Linked DNA regions of Rattus norvegicus. Each later gene encodes a partner of the first gene's protein in a complex. Links are inferred from orthologs where the notes say so. Each region holds a gene or a part of one and is shown on either strand. Other genes may lie near its edges.

Region 1 (9,456 bases):
ACGTTGTCCCACCGTGTTGTAGGGGAAATGATGTGCGTGCATCTGCGAGGACCTGGCTTCTTCTGATTTCACCTCACGAGCTCTTTCCCTTGGTTAACTTCCATTTCAATCCTTCCTTTGTGTTACATCCACTAAGCCATGAATATAATTATACCCCGAGTTCTGAGTCCTCTCGGGGAATTGCATCCCTAACATGGCCCTCAAATTTGTATAAGTATTAGGTCCCATGATGAACTGAGAATATTGGTTTCTTTAAGAACCCAGTTATGTTATGTGATTATGTTTTTGTTTTAATCCCACGGGTGGGATATGGGGCTGCTTCAGATTGTCCACAACTACTATGATTGTCTCATGCAGGGACTGGGGGCTCATGGCTGCACATCGTGGGAGTGGACATGAGTCTTACTGCTTAACTCCTCCGTCTCAGTGGGCCTCTTTTCTCCTGGGCTGCCCTCTTCATCTCTGAGGTGCCTCATACATCCTGGCAAAGCTACACTCAGTCCCTGTTCTTTCAGTCCAGTGTTTTGACATCTTGTCCGGAAAAGGCCTCCCAGGCTATTTCTGCCCCTGCTACATCGATTTTCCTCAGTCTTCCATGTCTCTTGTCTCTCTACTGGAATGTAAACTCCCAAGACAGAGACATTATAAATTGCCTGCCTTTGCTGCTTTGTCTCAGTGGTGTAGCAAGGCCGGCAAACATGCACATTTTAAGGGTTTTTTTGTTTGTTTGTTATTTGTTTATTATATATAAGTACACTGTCACTGTCTTTTAGACACACCAGAATGGCATCAGATCCCATTACAGATGGTTGTGAGCCACCATGTGGTCGCTGGGATTTGAACTCAGGACCTCTGGAAGAGCAGTCAGTGCTCTTAACCAATGAGCCCACATTTTAAGGTTTGCTAGCAATTTGCTCAGCTTTCTAGGTGGAAGCCAGGTCAGGTCTAGAACACATTAGGCCAGACTACTGGTAGACCGAGGGACAGTAGATCAAATAAAGTTGAGTGGTTAACCAAGGAGATGAGGACCCAGGGCTTTGAAGGTCGGGGAAATTGAGATTTTCTTTTACATGTAATGAGAAGCTTCTGGAAGGTAAGTAAAATATTAGTGTGTGGGTGACACAGTCAAATCACATGTTTGTAAACATGGTGACCACGATGGGAATGATTTAGGAAGAAATGGAGCAACTAAAGAACAAAGGGGTTTTTTTTGCGGAAGGTGACAGTGGTGCGGCTTAGACCGAAGTGTAGCCCTAAACCGCCTGCCATGGTTTGGAACCAAAGTAGCTGCTGCTTTCTGAAGCACTTTAGAAAGAAGAGGAGGAAGGCTGAGCCATCGAGTGTGACCCAGGAGGTAGGCGGCCCTGGCTCATTCCTTCTTTTTTCCTCCAGATCCGGGGCTCCCGGTCACGGGCTCTGCCTGACCGGGCTCTAGTGAACTGTCAGTACAGTTCAGCAACCTTCAGCACAGGTGAGCGCAAGCGAAGGCCTCATGGAGACCGGAAGTCTTGTGAGATGGGGCTGCAGCTACGCCAGACCTTCGAGGCAGCTATCCTCACACAGCTGCACCCACGTTCTCAGATAGACATTTATGTGCAGGTGAGCCTCAAACCACTCCCCCGGGGGCGGGGCTTAAGGGGATGAGGTCTGCCTGAGATGCTGGAGGATGAGATGTCTGATGTCCTGATGCCCCCTGCAGGTGCTACAAGCAGACGGTGGGACCTATGCAGCATGTGTGAATGCAGCCACGCTAGCAGTGATGGATGCTGGGATACCCATGCGGGACTTTGTGTGTGCATGTTCGGCTGGTTTTGTGGATGGCACAGCACTAGCGGACCTCAGTCACGTGGAGGAAGCAGCTGGCGGGCCCCAGCTAGCCCTGGCCCTGCTGCCAGCCTCTGGCCAGATTGCACTGCTTGAGATGGATTCGAGGTTGCATGAAGACCACTTGGAGCAGGTGCTCGAGGCTGCTGCCCAGGCAGCCCGGGATGTGCACACTCTGCTGGATCGTGTTGTCCGGCAGCATGTGCAGGAGGCCTCTATCTTACTGGGGGACTGAGGCCAACCCCCCATATCCAGAATAAAGGCCTGTTCCTCTCCTGAACACACTGTAATGTACAGCACTTCAAAGCAGCTCAGGGCCCTACATAGCAGTTTGTACTGCAGTCCCTAAGTGGAGAGAACACTTGTGCTAGGAAGAGCAAGAGTGCTCATGCTGTGCCTGCCCAGATATCAGGGTCCACAAAGACCACCAGGGGTCTGGATTTGTATGCAAAAGCAAAGCCTTTATTCACACTTAAGCTTGGACCCTCAGAATCCTCCAAGCATCAGATTTGTGCTGAGACCTTGAACCTCATTTAGGCAAGGTTTTTATACTAGTTTGAGCAGGGAACGGGGGTCTCCAGCATAGCGATTGCCTTACTTAGCAAGGGTTGAGCAGGGAGGGGGTCTCCAGCCTGTCAGTTGCCTTATTTGGCAAGGGGTATCTTGGTGCACAAGGATTGGTCAATGATGAGCAATTTATCTGTAACCTTTGGAATTTTAGACACTTTCCCTCTATTTCTCTGATTGGCTCTAGCCCAGGGCAGTTTCTTCCTGGATTGTTTATGATATTTCTATTAATCGCAGTTCAAACAAGGGACAAGCAGGCTCAAAATGGAGTCCGCTTTCTCCCATCACTTGTGTTCCTCACTCATGCCCTCAGACTAAGGAATGTGCCTTGCTTACACAACTCTTCAGAGACATGAGTGCAAGGCTGAGGTGGCTATGTGTGCTCATCAAGAGATGTAAGGTTAGACTAATGCAATGGTTCTCAACTTGTGGGTCACAACCCCTTTGAGGTCTCCTATCCGATATCCTGCAAATCCGATATTTACACTATGACATAACAGCAAAATTAGTTATGGAGTATCAGCAAAATAATTTTATGGTTGGGGTTCACCACAACATGAGAAACTCTATTAAAAGTAGAATGTTAAGAACCACTGGATTAATGTTTTTCCTTGGGCCTTTCTTGCCTCTTTGGGCTCTAGAAGGATATCAAACCTTTGTTGCCTCTTGGCCATTTATTCTTTTTTTTTTTTTTTTTTTTTTTTTGGTTCTTTTTTTCGGAGCTGGGGACCGAACCCAGGGCCTTGCGCTTCCTAGGTAAGCGCTCTACCACTGAGCTAAATCACCCAGCCCCTTGGCCATTTATTCTTAGACCCTTACCTCTGGACCCTCTTAGAAAAACTCCTCTGACCCACCACTACCCCTCTCCTCTGGCCACCAACTCGCCCACTGTGCTAGTCAGCCCACTGACTTAAGGTTCATGACATCCATAGAAATGATTCAACAACGGATCCTCAGTTCACATGGGGGCCCTTAAGTCATAGCTATAACAGTCATTCAATATCTCACTTCAGCAGGCAACAGTCTTTTCGCTGTTCCAGCTCCGTACCCACCTGTGTCACACACTCCCGAGAAGAACCTTTAGGCAGGCACGCTATTGCTGTTCTGTCTTGAGTTCGGCCAGTGTCTTGCCCTTCCAGCTGTTTGCCCGCAGCTTCACAACCTCAGGTTCCAGTTCCGCCCACTGGCCGTGACAGCATCCTGTATTTCTCCAGCCTACTGCAATACTGAGCATGCGCAGAATGTGGTTTCCAACGACATCTGCCCCTACGCTACCAAGCGTAGTGGCGCGACGGATCCTGGGACCGGAAATAAAGGCAGCACGGGGCGCCGGGTCTGACAGGAACCCTGCGCTTGGAGGTGTCAAGCTGCGGCGAGAGCTGAGCCCCGCGCCCCGCCATGGGTCTCCTGTCGGACCCGGTGCGCCGGCGCGCGCTCGCCCGCATCGTCTTGCGCCTCAACACTCCTCTATGGTGAGGGCGGGTATAGGGGGCGGGACTCGCGGGAACATGAACTGCTGTAGTTCCACTCGCGCCTACTGCTCCAGGATCTGCGCCCTCCTTGCAAATGTCACTCAGGCACTGAGCTTGGAGCTCTGATCCCTATCCATTCCTAATATAACGTCTCGGGTTTTTGGGTTTTTTTTCTTCCGGAGGCAGGATTTCTCAGTGTAGCCTTGGTTATTCTGGAATTCCCTCTGTAGACCAGACTGGCCTCGAACTCAGAGATCTGCCTGCGCCCGCCTCTGTCTCCTGAATGCTAGGATTAACGGCGTGTACCGCCACTGCCCGTCTTCGGCTCCGGGTTCTTAATGTCTTGGACCATCCAGCTGGACCCTCTGGGACATGATGGAAACCACGAGTGAGCGTTCCAGGTCGGGCTAATTCCTGTCCTCTGTACTCTCTCGCAGTGTGCTGAGCTACGTAGCTGGCATCGCCTGGTTTTTGGCGCTGGCTTTTCCGCCGCTAACCCAGCGCACTTATATGTCTGAGAATGCCATGGGCTCCACCATGGTGGAGGAGCAGTTTGTAGGTGGAGACCGTGCCCGCAACTTCGCCCGGGACTTTGCTGCCCACCGCAAGAAGCCAGGGTGAGTGCCTATCAGCGAGCTGGGGATTTCACGTGTGGCCGAGACCATGGAGCTCTACCTGAGGCTATCTTTGTGTCTCCAGGGCTCTGCCAGTAGCCTGGCTGGAAAGGGCGATGCGATCCGTAGGACTGGAGGTCTACACTCAGAGCTTCTCCCGCAAACTACCCTTCCCGGATGAGACCCATGAGCGCTATGTATTGAGGGAAATGGGTGTGCCTGGGAGAAAAGTACATTGGAAGGGTGGCCTGGGTTGGGCATCTTGTTGAAGTGCCCCGGAACCAAGAAATTCTGGGAGGGACGGTCTGAAGATCTCTGGTGGTGGGCATTGTAGTGCCAGGAAAGAAGGCAGGTTTCAGCCTGTCTTCTGTAAGGTCTGCTGAGGCTTTCCCATTAACACTTTGTGCAGATGGTCTCGGGTACCAATGTGTATGGCATCCTGCGGGCCCCACGTGCTGCCAGTACCGAGTCCCTGGTACTCACTGTACCCTGTGGTCCAGACACCACCAATAGCCAGGCTGTGGGGTTGTTGTTGGCACTCGCTGCCCATTTCCGAGGTGAGGCTCTGGGGCTCTGGTCAGGGAGGGTTTGACCAATGCCCCAGGCCCTTGCTGACCCTGCCTCTGGTTTCCAGGGCAGATTTACTGGGCCAAAGATATAATTTTCCTGGTAACAGAACATGATCTTCTGGGCACTGAGGCTTGGCTTGAGGCCTACCATGACATTAATGTTACAGGTACGTGTTACACTAGTCTCGCTCCTCTTTCAGGGTCAGCTGTCGTCACTTTGTACCCCACTCCAGTGCTCACTGCTTGCTCCTACAGGCATACAGTCATCTCCCCTGCAGGGCAGGGCTGGTGCCATCCAGGCCGCTGTGGCCCTGGAGCTGAGCAGTGATGTAGTCACCAGCCTCGACGTGACCGTGGAGGGACTCAACGGTCAGCTGCCCAACCTTGATCTGCTCAACCTCTTCCAGACCTTCTGCCAGAAAGGGGGGCTGTTGTGCACACTCCAGGGCAAGGTGGGACCACCTGCTTGGGAGCCTGGGGCCTATGAGACGGGGTGAGTCTGATCCTGTCCCCATGCCTCCAAAGCTGCAGCCCCAGGACTGGACATCACTGGAAGGGCCTCTGCAGGGCCTGCAGACACTGCTTCTCATGGTGCTGCGGCAGGCCTCTGGCCGGCCCCATGGCCCCCATGGCCTCTTCCTGCGCTACGGAGTGGAGGCCCTAACCCTACGTGGCATCAACAGCTTCCGCCAATACAAGTATGATTTGGTGGCAGTGGGCAAGTAAGTCTCTGGACCCTCTCCGTGTTCGAGGCGGTATCTAGCTGGGATGAGAGGAGGGCTGGCCCTGACCTGACTGTGCTCCTGACAGGGCTCTGGAGGGCATGTTCCGAAAGCTCAACCACCTCCTGGAGCGCTTGCACCAGTCGTTCTTCTTCTACCTACTGCCCGCCCTCTCCCGCTTCGTGTCCATTGGACTCTACATGCCCGCCACAGGCTTCCTGCTCCTGGTCCTTGGACTCAAGATATCCTCCACCCTCGTTCTCGATACTCACTTGTGGCCAAACTCAGATCCCTTTAACTGTAAAGTGGGGTTAGTCCTTCATTCCTACTGTAGCGGTGTGGCAGCGAGCCTATGATCTCCCATCTAGCAGGTCCCATCCAATTCTTGTCGAGGTCCTTGACTTAGTCTAAGCTCTCGAGCTATGGATGCAGTTACACGAGGCTGGAGTGAACCCTGAGGAGGCTGGGAAGGCCCCTGGCCCCGGCTCTCCACCCTTGGCAACACAGGTGACGTCATACTCCACTGCTCTTAGGATGGGTTCTCAGCGTCCCCAGCAGTGCTTCCTGTGGTCAACCCTCAGTGTGAGTCCTTCAGGTTCCCCTAGGCCTCTGGCCTGATTCCAGGTACCCATGTACTTTGCAGAGCGTGAGCCTGGCCTCACTTATGGCGCCCTTGCTGATCTCTCAGGCCATGGGTTTGGCCCTCTATTTCCTACCTGTGCTGGGCCAACATGTAGCTGCCCAGCATTTCCCAGTGGCTGAAGCTGAGGCTGTCGTGTTGACACTGCTAGCGATTTATGTAGCCGGCCTAGCCCTGCCACACAACACCCACCGGTGAGCTGCTGGGCTGGGCACGTGGAGGTGGGCCCCCTGGACACTTTGGTGGATTCTGGACTGCCCTTGAACCTCTTACCTTGTAGAGTGGTCAGCTCACAGGTCCCAGACCGGGGCTGGATGGCGCTGAAACTGGTGGCCCTGATCTACTTGGCACTGCAGCTGGGTTGCATTGCTCTCCTCAATTTCTCCCTGGGCTTCCTGCTGGCTGCCACCATGGTACCTGCTGCTGCACTCACGAAGCCCCACGGACCCCGGTACGTGCTGGTCAACCTCTTAGCAGTATCTTTGCCCCTCACCAGGCTTAACCCTCATTTATTCACTTGCTGGCATCCACTGTGGTGCATACTTAAATGTCGCCCTTCTGCCCACCAGGACACTCTATGCTGCCCTGCTGGTAGTGACCAGCCCAGCAGTCACACTCTTCGGTAGCCTATTCCTGTGGCGGGAGCTCCAGGAGGTACCACTGTCTCTGGCAGAGGGTTGGCAGCTCTTCCTGACTGCCTTGGCCCAGGGTGTGCTGGAACACTACACCTATGGTGCCCTCCTCTTCCCAATACTGGCCTTGGGTCTGTATCCTTGCTGGCTGCTCTTCTGGAATGTTCTCTTCTGGAAGTGAGGTCTCTGGGAAGGGAACCCCAAGCCTCCATTCTACCTCCTCCCTGGAAAATAAACAAGTGCTCTGTTTCTGTACTTTGGGATCCTGGCCCACTGTCTTTTCGGCGCCCCTGGCAAGCTGCTTGGCACCCACTCACCTCTTTGAAGGATCCACCCTGTTTGAATTCTCAGGTGTTTCTCTCCTGGTAGCAGACGTGGGGGTCTGGCCCCATCAACGTCTGGAGGAGAGCCTCAGTTAGACACTGAAGGGCAAGTGTAAACCCATTCCCAGCTCTCCATGCAGTCCTGCAGGTGGCCTGCAGGTAGGCAGGCCCATGTATGTATGCAGTGCTGTCCAGTGCTATGCTAGAAGCGATTCTGGTGCTAGATGAGATAATCTGCAGCCAGGGTTTGAGGGCCAGCAGTAGCTGTGGTCCTTGGGGACCTCACAACTCCATCTTCAGTTCTGACTGAAAGGACAAAGGAACCTCTTAGGATGTTCAGGGTTTGGACTCTGTTTCTAGCCAAGGCTAGAACTTTACTGTGGGCTTCATATGGAGTAGAAGAAGTATAAGGCTCCACTTACTTCAAGTAGCACAAGCCAAGGCAAGGTGCCCACTAGAGGTAGAACTCTACATAGTAGGAAAAGGTAGGACTCTAGTCTCGCCAGCACCCAGAAGCAATAGGCTGAGAGAGAAAAGAGCCCCAAAGCAGGGCAACACTGGCGAGCCAGCACAGAAGGAAGCAGGTTGTGACAGGATCCCAAGAAAAAGAAGTATGGCTCTTTCTAACAAGTTAGGACCACGTCAGAAACTTTGGTGACTAGTCTGGAGACACATCATGGGATGGCCACAAGGCCTTGACCAAAGACACTTTAAAAAACGAAAAGAGTAGCTGGAGAGATGGCTCAGTGGTTAAGAGCACTGACTGCTCTTCCAGAGGTCCTGAGTTCAATTCCCAGCAACCACATGGTAGCTCAGAACTCTCTATAATGAGATCTGATCGCCTCTTCTGGTGTGTCTGAAGACAGCTACAGTGTACTCACATACGTAAAGTAAATAAAATGTTTTTTTAAAAATGAAAAGAAAAGAAACAGGTCTGGAGGTGCCTTTACACTGCCCAGTAGTGGCTTCAGTGCTTGGAAGGGAGGCCCAAGGAAGATAAAAAATTCATTAGAATCAACTTAGGGCCAGGGGACCTTCCTGGGACGCCTCTGATGGTTCCCAGCTTCCTGTGAGTTGGTTCCTCTTGGCCCTTGGTGGTTTCAAAGAATCTCACTCTGAGCCAAGAGCGATGGCACCATAGGTGAGAGCACCTGCTGTCAGGTCGGACGGCCTGTCTTTGATCCTGGTACTCACACAGCGTAAAGAGGGCTAACTCCCACAAGTCCTCAGCACACACGCACCCTGACATGCATATACACATACACACAAAATAACTTTAAAAGTTTCTTTGTGGGTCCCCAAAGAGACAACTGGCTTACCTGGTAGGCTTACACATGGAGGGACTATATGGAAGCCGCTGAGGCAAGTAGCCCTGCCACTGAGTTCCAGTCTTTGCCCCTTTAGGCCCATCTAGTACAAAATTTCCCTCCCTGCATTGTGGCTGGTCTTTGGCCTTAACAGTTTTTAACAGAACTGTAGCAGTCACTTAAAACTCAAGTGGAGATATATGTGTGTGTGTGTGTGTGTGTGTGTGTGTGTGTGTGTGTGTGTGTGTGTATTTGGGGGAATACACAGGAAGAAAGGTAAACAGTCATTTCACATGTCCTGAATGTATCCAGCATTTTTCATCTACATGAATATTAAGAAGGAATGGTGGGGAAAATATTGTTGAGGTGGCATTTGTCTTAATTTTCACTAATGTGTACATTTTTCAAAATGCGAGGTAACTAGGCATAGCAACATGACTATAATAATCCTACCCCTCTTTGAGGCAGAAGCAGGGGGACCACGAGTTTGAGACCTGTCTAGGTTACACAGTCAATAAACAAAAGGGGGAGCAGTGGGTGGGCAAGATGGTGTGTGCATATGGTCCCGGCTGTCTGGAAGGCCTTGAGGATTACATGAGCCTTGTAGTTTGAGGCAAGTCTGGGCAACATAGGGGAACATTGTCAAAACAAAACAAAAACAAGGTATGATGTCTCATGTCTGTAATCCTAGCATACAGCCTGATTCAGGAGTGTTTTGAGCCTGGTCTGTGTATGTGACGACACAGATTATAAAGGTGTAAGGAGTTGTGACAGAAATAGGTGTAA
Region 2 (9,008 bases), on another chromosome or scaffold:
CAGAGAAAATCAATATCTATATATACAGATTTGTATTTACAGTTTGTTTTTAAGAAAATGAAGAGCTGGGTGTGCTGGCACAGGCCTTCGATTGTAGCACTTGGGAGGCAGAGGCATTTGAATCTTTGTGAATTTGAGACCAGCCTAGTCATAGCAGATTCCAGACCAGCCAGGGTTGTACCATGAGACATTGGTCTATAAAGAAAAAAAAAATTGAAAGGTAAAATAGGAAGTGGAGTTTCTCAGAAAGCAAGAGCCATGCCTTAATATCTTTAGTGTGTACCCTGGCTTTGGGGTGGTGGTATGGAGTATGAGGAATAGGTGGGGACTCTGACCAGTCCTACTTCAGTTCTACTTCCGTGCTCTTTGGTTTCTGGGTCACGTAGTCTTCAAATTTGTAGCCCCCAAATTCTATGGTTGGCTTTAACTGTGCCAAGTTGGAGGGCATCTTGAGTTTCCTAAGTATTCTGCCAAGATATTCTGAGGGGGCTGAAGAGGCTTTCAAGGACAAGAATTGAAGACTGAGATGACAGGGTGAGTTTTTTTTTTTTTTTTTTTTTTTTGGTTCTTTTTTTTTCGGAGCTGGGGACCGAACCCAGGGCCTTGTGCTTCCTAGGTAAGCACTCTACCACTGAGCTAAATCCCCAGCCCCACAGGGTGAGTTTTGAGAGCAGAGCAGCTTGAAACATTAGTCTGGAGTTGAAAATCTGGGTCAGGATACAAGGGACACTGATGTCAGCGGGCGGTGGTGGCGCACACCTTTAATTCCAGCACTCAGGCAGAGGCATGTGACTCTCTAGGTTTGGGGCCAGCCTAGTCTACAGAGAGAGTTTCAGAATAGCCAGGGCTATACAGAGAAGCCTTGTCTTAAACACAACCCCCCCGCCCCTCAAAAGAAAGAAAAGAAAAAAGAAACCCCGAAGTCTTCCTTATTTTTAATGGCTGCTGTGTATTGGGACGTGGGATGTGTGAGGTGCCTGCAGCTTACAGATCAGTGGGCATTACTCCCGCTTCCCTTCATACAGCAAACACATCGTCTTTGCTTTGCTTTGCTTTGTCTGAGACAGAGTATCACTGGGTCACCTAGGCTGATCTTGACCTCATGAGAGCCCCAGCCTTCCGGGATCAGATGGATTAACTGCAGTGCCTGGCTTGTTTGCATTTAATTTGCTTTTCTAGAGATGTGGGCCACCAGACTGACTGGATAGTAGTCCAGGGCATCTGTTGTCCTATCTCCCTAAGTAAGCCTGGCCTCACTGAGTTAGGTACTGGGTAGTCAGTGCAGTACCATCCCGGAGTTCTTCAGTATCCTGGTTCTGTTTCCTATTACTCCTCTTTCTCTTGACAGATAACAGATGCCCTCACTGCTATTGCCCTGTATTTTGCAATTCAGGACTTCAATAAAGTTGTGGTAAGTCATTAGCGGGTAGGACAAAGCTGGTGGTATTTGGTAACTCACTTATGGCAAAGAATCAAAAGACATGTACTTTAAGATCCAACTATGTAAAAATGTTAAGAAATTAAGATGGCTCATTGGATTAAGGCCTTTGCTAGCAAGCCTCAGGTAAGTTCTGTCTCCAGGGAAGGAGAGAAATGATTACTGGAAGTCATCCTCTGATCTCTACTTATGTGCAGTGACACGTACACTACTACACACACAGACACATGTAGGCACACACACTTCAAGAAAGGAAGGAAGGAAGGAAGGGAGGGAGGGAAGGAGAGAGGAAAGGAGGAAGGAAAGAAAGAAGAAAGGAAAGAAGGAGAGAGAGAGAGAGAGAGAGAGAGAGAGAGAGAGAAGTGGCGTGTTTGTATTAGCTCACACCTGCAGTCCTGGCACTTGGGAGGCAAAGGCTGTATGAGAAGAGTAGGGTCATTCTCTGCTCTATACCAGTTTGTGGCTAGCCTGGGCTTAATGACATACTATCTAAATTAAATTTTATTTTATTTATTTTTATTTTAATTTTATTATTTTTGTGGGGGTATTTTGTGAGCAAGTATGGTTGTGTACCACACGTGCAGTGTCCTGGAGACCAGAAGATGTTGGATCCCCTGGAACTGAAGGGATAGAAGGTTGTGAGGCACCATATGGGTGCTGGGAATTAAACCCGGGTCTTGTGCATGAACAAGTGCTCTTAATCACTGCACTGTCTCTCCAGCCCCTAAAATAAACATGGAAAAGTCTTTCCTTTTTCAAAGGAAAAAAATGAATGTAGCCTTTAACTCACTGTATTAGGCCTCTTGAAGTAAAATTGGATTCCCATTGTTGATAAATCTGTTTTCCTTCAGACGGTAATTTGGGGGTTGGAGATTGAAAGCAGGGCCCTGGAAAATGCTAGGTAAGCACCATCCATCCCACCGAGCCGCACTCCCCAGCCCTAACAGAATAATCTCAATTAGAGAATTTGGCAGATTGGGCTGGCAAGATTGCCTAGTCAGTAAACATGCCTGCTGCCAGTCTTGGCAGCCTGAGCTCAGTCCCTGGAACCCACACGACAGAAGAAGAGAACTGACTCCAGCAAGTGACTTATGAGCTCCATAAGCACGCTGTGCTACGTGTGAGCTCCTGTGTACAAATAAATAGGGGAAAAAAGTATTGATATAAAGTTTACCCCTAATTATGTAATAGCCAAGGAGACTTACATCTTGGGACCATTCTCCTTGTCCAGGCTTCTGAGAGGACACATGTGTGCCTTGTACCTGCAGAGGTCTGGAGAGGGTGTTGGATACCCTGGACCTGGAGATACAGACAATTGAGTGTCACCATGTGGCCCCACAACTGAATTAAAATTCGAAGTGTTTTTGTTTCCCTATTTCCAGAGTTCAGATTATTATAACATTGGATCTCTTGGTTAGAGTGAGGTTGATCTACATTCTGTCACAAATGACCTCATTTTGAATGCCAGCTCTTTTGTTTTGTTTGTGTAGTGCTGGGGATCAACCCCACGGCCAGTGAGCCATCTCCCCAGCCTTTCTGTTGCTATGTTTTGAGGCAGGGTCTTGGTACAGAGCTCAAGTGGACCTAGAATTTGTGATCACCTTCATATGAACGCTGAAAGTAGCAGTCCACAGGACGATTGTACATACACTGCTCTGTTTCTCTCTTTTCAGTGAGTACGTAAGACCCAGGGTCCTGTGTATGTGAGGCAGTCTTCTACTGAGCGGTACTCTGTGCCTGCTTTATTTCATGTGTGCACTTGTGACGGCACACGTGCAAAGTACCACTTGCAGGGATTGGCTCTCTTCCTCCACCATGTTGGTCTCAGGGGCTGAGCTCAAGCTACTGTTGGACTTGATGGCAAGTTCCTTCACTTTCCCAGCTCTTTGCTGGCCCTGTTTGTTTTTTTAAACAGAGCCTCTGTATGTAGTTTATACTGGCCTTGAACTAGTGGCATAGCCCTAATAGGGCTATCTCCTGAGTGCTGGGAGGACAGGTGTGTGCACTATTACAGGTTTAGGTAGAATGTTAATGCATGTATTCCCGAAAGGCCCCACTTTGTAAAGGAGGAGGAGTCGTTCCTTCAGTATTATCACCACTGGTAAGTTGTTTATGCTCTAGTAAGTAGTGCCTCCCACTGGTCTCATGCAAATCACGCTAATTAAATTCAACTGCGCTCTCTCTCTCTCTCTCTCTCTCTCTCTCTCTCTCACACACACACACACACACACACACACAGAGAGAGAGAGAGAGAGAGAGAGAGAGAGAGAGGTTCTAGAAATCAGTGATTAAGAGCACTAATTGCTCTTCTAGAGAACTCAGGTTCAATTCCCAGCATCTACATGGCAGCTCACAACTGTTCAGAATTCCAGTTCAGGGGATCCAAAGCCCTCTTTTGATCTTTAGGGGCTTCAGGCATGCATGTTCACAGACATGTGCCAGCAAGACACCCATATACATAAAATAAAGTAGAGAGGGACATGTTGGGTTGGAGAGTACAGCAGGAGTGAGCGGTCGTTAAGAGAGCCCTGGGGGCTGGCTGTGGTTAAAATACTGTGTACATGTCTGACATATCAAAGGATAAATAAAGATTACATTTAAAAAGTCTCTCTTTGTTAAAAGGATCTTTATAGTCTGAGAACATTTGTCTTGGTAGGATTTGAGATTTTTGTCCCTGTAGTCTTGCATAGCATCCTGGAACACTGGTTCTGAGGGGACTCCACAACCAGCCCTCCTTTCCCATCAGCCTGAGGGACATGAATGCTGACCGACAGTAGCCAGTTGATTTTGGCAAAAGTAACATTAGTCTAATCTGTCCTTTTCTGCAATGATGTTTCTTTTTCGGAGCCCACATCCGAGACTCTGTTGGGATACAAGGGGGAACAAAGAGCTTTCCACCCCTGTGTGACTGCATCCTAGCTCTCTAGCTCCCCAGCCATTCCAGTCCCTGCCTTCATCATAATTCCTTTACACTCCTCCTTGCCAGTATAAAAGATCAAACAAACAAACCTTTGACAGAGGAATGAGGAAGGGAACCTGAGACACTGCGTCCGGATCCCTGAAACTGCTTAGACATGTTTTGCTGATGGAGCTTTTAAGCCCTGCCACCACTGATGGTACCTCCCAGAGTGACTAAGTGGCTTTTGCCATACGTTAGTCCATTCATTTGCCCCCTGTGCTAAGTGTTAGGCATACACAGAGAGCAAGTTAAATAACCCGAACCCTTGTGGAACTTACACTCTAGGGAGGACCCAGGCAGCGGTCAGAAGTGCTGAGAGTGTTTGTGGTAAAATGTGTATCCACACTAAAGGAGTGCACCCCTTCCTGGGAAGGGAAGGCGGAGCTGAAGTCTCACGGCTGTGTGGGAGTCAGCTGGGGAAGAGCTCTGGGGTCACGAGGAGCATTGCCTGTTCATGCACTGGGACTTGGGGTTAGGTGGGGGACTGAGAGTGAGGAGCCTGAAGAAGCAGAGCAGGACGGACTGTGGTGTGGACCAGGGCAAAGATTTTTGTCTTCATCCTGAAAGCAGTGGCAAATCATCTGTTTTGTGTGTCTTGTGCGTCCTCTCCCACCTCTAGTTTAAAAAGCAGAAACTTCTCCTAGAGCTGGACCAGTATGCCCCAGATGTGGCCGAACTCATCCGGACACCTATGGAAATGCGCTACATCCCTCTGAAAGTGGCCCTGTTGTGAGTACTCCCCCACAAATCAGGACTCAGTGCCAAGAAACGAAGGGAAATCCTGATGAGCCTCTGCCCATGTTGTAGTTGTAGAGATTTGCAGTCTTAGTCATCCAGTGTTTGCTGTACTTCTCTTGCACAACTGGGGTTTTGGCCAGCAAGAGCGACAGAGCCATTCTGTCTCTGTTGAGACAAAGACTCACACAGGGGCACGCACAGCCAAACCCTTCACAAAGGCCTTCTGACTCAGTGCTGGCCTGGACTCCAGCCTGATTAGAACTAGTGCTTCTAAAACATGGTAGTCCTTTATTAGTGGTGTCTTGAAAAAGATTTTGGTCTTTGTGTGCTGCTGTCTCACATAGTTTCTGTATTTTATGTATAATTAAGTTCCCTGTTTATAATTTAGAACACCGGGCTAGGTGACCAGCTTGGAAGAGTGGCAGTGGCTGACACTTTAAGAACGAATTCTCTGGGAGTAATTAATGCCCAGTGAGTATGATCCTTTCAGATCATTCTCATCTGTGTTTCTGAGATAGGCAAGATGAACTATTTAATCAGCCAGTAGTCACCAGATATAATAACATGCTAGTTTCTAGGAACACATACTAAACAAAACATACATTTCCTCATGGTAAAACATGCCCTTAGAATTTTTTAGAATTAGAAGCTGGATACGGTGTCACATGCTTGTGATCTCAGCCACAGGACCTAATGGAGGGAAGACAGAGTTTGAGGCTAATCTGTGCTATGTAGCAGTATTCTGTGGAGGGAGCCTGGTTAGAGGCATGCTTGCATAGCTTACAAGGTTTGATCCTCCGCACCAAATAAACTGGGCATGGTGGTGCTTGTCTGTAACCCTACCACTTGGGAAAAGGGCAGGAAGATCAGAGGTTCAAGGTCAGCCTTGGTGACCACTTAGGTATTCTGCGGGATGGTGTGGGGTACATCTTAGGAGCCTTTGCTCTGTGTATGAATTTCCTATTCAGTATTCCAGGTAGATGTCTAGACAGCTGCTTCTTTAGTGTCACCCCCTACTTAGAAAAGGTTTTGTGTTTTTTCTCCTATGAGATAATTTTGGCATATCTGTTCCCAACTCCATATTTCAGAAATTTGATGGGAAATACTTTAATAGGACCAAAAGTTTAGCAACATAATGAATCCTTATAGACTCTTGTATCCCCTGAGGGTAGTTTCATAATAGCAGCAGCCATTTCTTTAAAGGTTGTGTAACAAGTCTGATTGCTTGGAAAAACAAAAAACAAAAACCCACCAAACCCCCAAGAGTTTTTAGGCGTTTGGTTTTAGAACTACTAATCTTACATTCATAGGAAGTAGTATTAGACTTAAGGTCTTTACTTGGGAATAATTATTATAATCTTTTTCTAAGATAATCAGAATTATGTAACTAGCCTTTCTTCCTTTGTCTGGTGGGAAACTCAGTCAGGTCTGAGGTTGTTACTGTCCAGCTGTAGGCCTATCTGAAGCTGTTATTGTCCAGCTGTAGACCTGTCTGAGGCTGTTATTGTCCAGCTGTAGACCTGTCTGAAGCTGTTATTGTCTAGCTGTAGGCCTGTCTGAGGCTGTTATTGTCCAGCTGTAGACCTGTCTGAGGTTGTTATTGTCCAGCTGTAGACCTGTCTGAGGTTGTTATTGTCCAGCTGTAGACCTGTCTGAGGTTGTTACTGTCCAGCTGTAGACCTGTCTGAAGTTGTTACTGTCCAGCTGTAGACCTGTCTGAGGTTGTTACTGTCCAGCTGTAGGCCTGTCTGAGGTTGTTACTGTCCAGCTGTAGGCCTGTCTGAGTTGTTATTGTCCAGCTGTAGACCTGTCTGAGGTTGTTATTGTCCAGCTGTAGGCCTGTCTGAGGTTGGTTACTGTCCAGCTGTAGGCCTGTCCAAGGTTATTACTGTCCAGCTGTAGGCCTGTCTGAGGTTGTTACTGTACAACTGTAGGCCTGTCTGAGGTTGGTTACTGTACAGCTGTAGACTTGTCTGAGGCTGTTATTGTCCAGCTGTAGCTCTTTGGTTTTCTTAGCTTTGTGTTCTATTTTCTTCTTATATATTTCCCCTGGTCTTGATTACGGCTGGTTTTACTTTACTATTATTTTTGTTATTTATTTTCATTTTAGGTGGTGCAGATTTTTTTGTAGAAGCAGGACAGAAATAAAGAGAATCCATTTTGACTGTGTAAGACTTTCCAACACTTTAGATTTATTTTCTGATTCCATTCCTTCCCACCTTAGCAGGGAAAGACTCCAGTTTAACTCTTTCATAATGGGAGGTCAAGATGTCCTGTGAAGTTCTGTGCCAACTAACTTGTAGAATTAGGAGGATACTTTGTTTGTGGGTCTGGCTCAGGAGTCAGTACTGCTTGACTATCAGGAGGGCTTATTAAAAGAATGCTGGCTTTAGAACCAGGAAGACTTGATTTTTTGAGTATATTTAATAGCTTTAAAAGCTTGGACTAGTTATTTAATCAGTGAGTCTCAGTTTCCTCATCTACAAAAGCAGGATAATGTTGCTGGCCGGGTGGTACACACTTGAGATCCCAGCACTGACAAGGTGGAAGCCAGAAGGTGGGAATGCAGGGTCATCACTAGTTCAAGGCTGGCTTGTGCCACATGAGACCAAAAAACCACACAACGGTGTAAAAGAAAACACTAAAAACAGAATAAAAGCTAGAAAATTTTTGCTGTTTATAGGATCTTTAATAGAAACATGACAGCTTTGCATATATTATATATGATTTTGCTAAGTGCCTTTATTTATCCTCTTTATTTATCCTCTTCTGTTTGGGATGCTTGGCTAAGAAGTGAGTTGAGGGTCTGGGGATTTAGCTCAGTGGTAGAGCGCTTACCTAGGAAGCGCAAGGCCCTGGGTTCGGTCCCCAGCTCCGAAAAAAAGAACCAAAAAAAAAAAAAAAAAAAAGAAGTGAGTTGAACTTCAAGGTTGTGGTAGCCAGGGCCCTGGCCCACTGATGAGATTTGCTAATGACAGATCTATGTGTTTTCCCTAGCTATCTCCTGAATCCCTACACGATCTTGTCTTGTGTTGCCAAGTCTACCTGCGCCATCAACAACACCCTCATTGCTTTCTTCATTTTGACCACAATAAAAGGTAAGGCATTTCAGAAGAATATAAGAGATGCAGGGTTTTATTACACGCATGCACAAGCTGACACGATAGCACATACTTATTATCACATCTGGGAGGCTGAGACAGAAGGATCTGGAATTCAAGGCCAGCCTTTACTATATAGCAAAAACTTGTCTCAAAAAGAAAAAAAATACATTTAAAAATTATGTACAAATAACATAAGATTATTATAGAAAATTTAGATAAACAAAGAGAAAAAAGGTAAAGTTCTAAAAATCTACCACTCAGAGAATCACTGTTGACATAATTTTTCAAGAGTTCCAAACAAGTTCTACGAGAATGTCAGTCTTCTGTAACTGCAGTCCAGCTTCGTTTCTGTTGACTCTCATTCTGTACATGCGGGTCAGGAAGAAGGAAAAATCAATCCTGACTGTAAGATGTGAAGGCCGGTCTTTGCTGTTGTGAGTCAGGCTAAGGGAGGATGACTTTGAACTACTGATCCTCCTGCCTCCACCTCCCAAGTACCGGTGTCACAGGCTTGAGCCCTCGCCTCCGCCTAGTCCTTTGGAGGAATACTTTACTATTCTTACTTCTGTGTTTCTGAACCATGTAGTTACCTTACGATGAATGATAACGTTTCAGGCATTGTTAATCACGCTCCATGATGAGAAGTGGAGATTTCTCGTAGGACTTTTGTAGCAATATTTCTGCCTCCTCTTTGTTTGATTTTCTTCTATCTCAGTCTTGATGAAATCAGTAGTCGGGCTGAGAGTGTGACTTGGTGTTAGTATGCATT

The links.
Region 2: the proteins of Gpaa1 (region 1) and Pigu are in contact, whole or in part, in a cryo-EM structure (PDB 8IMX), measured with the Homo sapiens proteins. The link is inferred for Rattus norvegicus from reciprocal best matches to the Homo sapiens genes GPAA1 and PIGU. Residues at the interface, in NP_003792.1 of Homo sapiens: Gln245, Leu310, Arg311, Arg313, Phe358, Leu359, Ile371, Ala389, Leu390, Trp393, His397, Leu500, Ile504, Leu508, Cys512, Leu515, Thr516; in NP_536724.1 of Homo sapiens: Tyr349, Ile355, Phe356, Cys360, Ile363, Val364, Leu367, Leu368, Val371, Leu372, Leu375, Ile377, Tyr378, Ala379, Gly380, Ser381, Phe386.

The regions. Positions count from the first base shown.
Region 1 is NC_086025.1:109,928,845-109,938,300, forward strand, and holds Gpaa1 (glycosylphosphatidylinositol anchor attachment 1 protein), read left to right. Parts: upstream 1-3,711; 5' UTR 3,712-3,789; coding exon 3,790-3,863; intron 3,864-4,300; coding exon 4,301-4,480; intron 4,481-4,562; coding exon 4,563-4,674; intron 4,675-4,886; coding exon 4,887-5,034; intron 5,035-5,111; coding exon 5,112-5,213; intron 5,214-5,301; coding exon 5,302-5,498; intron 5,499-5,571; coding exon 5,572-5,768; intron 5,769-5,856; coding exon 5,857-6,010; intron 6,011-6,179; coding exon 6,180-6,275; intron 6,276-6,411; coding exon 6,412-6,602; intron 6,603-6,688; coding exon 6,689-6,859; intron 6,860-6,977; coding exon 6,978-7,221; 3' UTR 7,222-7,295; downstream 7,296-9,456. Other genes in the region: Exosc4 (exosome complex component RRP41), read left to right, coding at 1,393-1,599, 1,700-2,059. UniProt on the Homo sapiens protein: Component of the glycosylphosphatidylinositol-anchor (GPI-anchor) transamidase (GPI-T) complex that catalyzes the formation of the linkage between a proprotein and a GPI-anchor and participates in GPI anchored protein biosynthesis. Binds GPI-anchor.
Region 2 is NC_086021.1:164,288,060-164,297,067, reverse strand, and holds part of Pigu (phosphatidylinositol glycan anchor biosynthesis class U protein precursor), read left to right. Parts: intron 1-1,348; coding exon 1,349-1,411; intron 1,412-5,016; coding exon 5,017-5,126; intron 5,127-8,132; coding exon 8,133-8,233; intron 8,234-9,008. UniProt on the Homo sapiens protein: Component of the glycosylphosphatidylinositol-anchor (GPI-anchor) transamidase (GPI-T) complex that catalyzes the formation of the linkage between a proprotein and a GPI-anchor and participates in GPI anchored protein biosynthesis.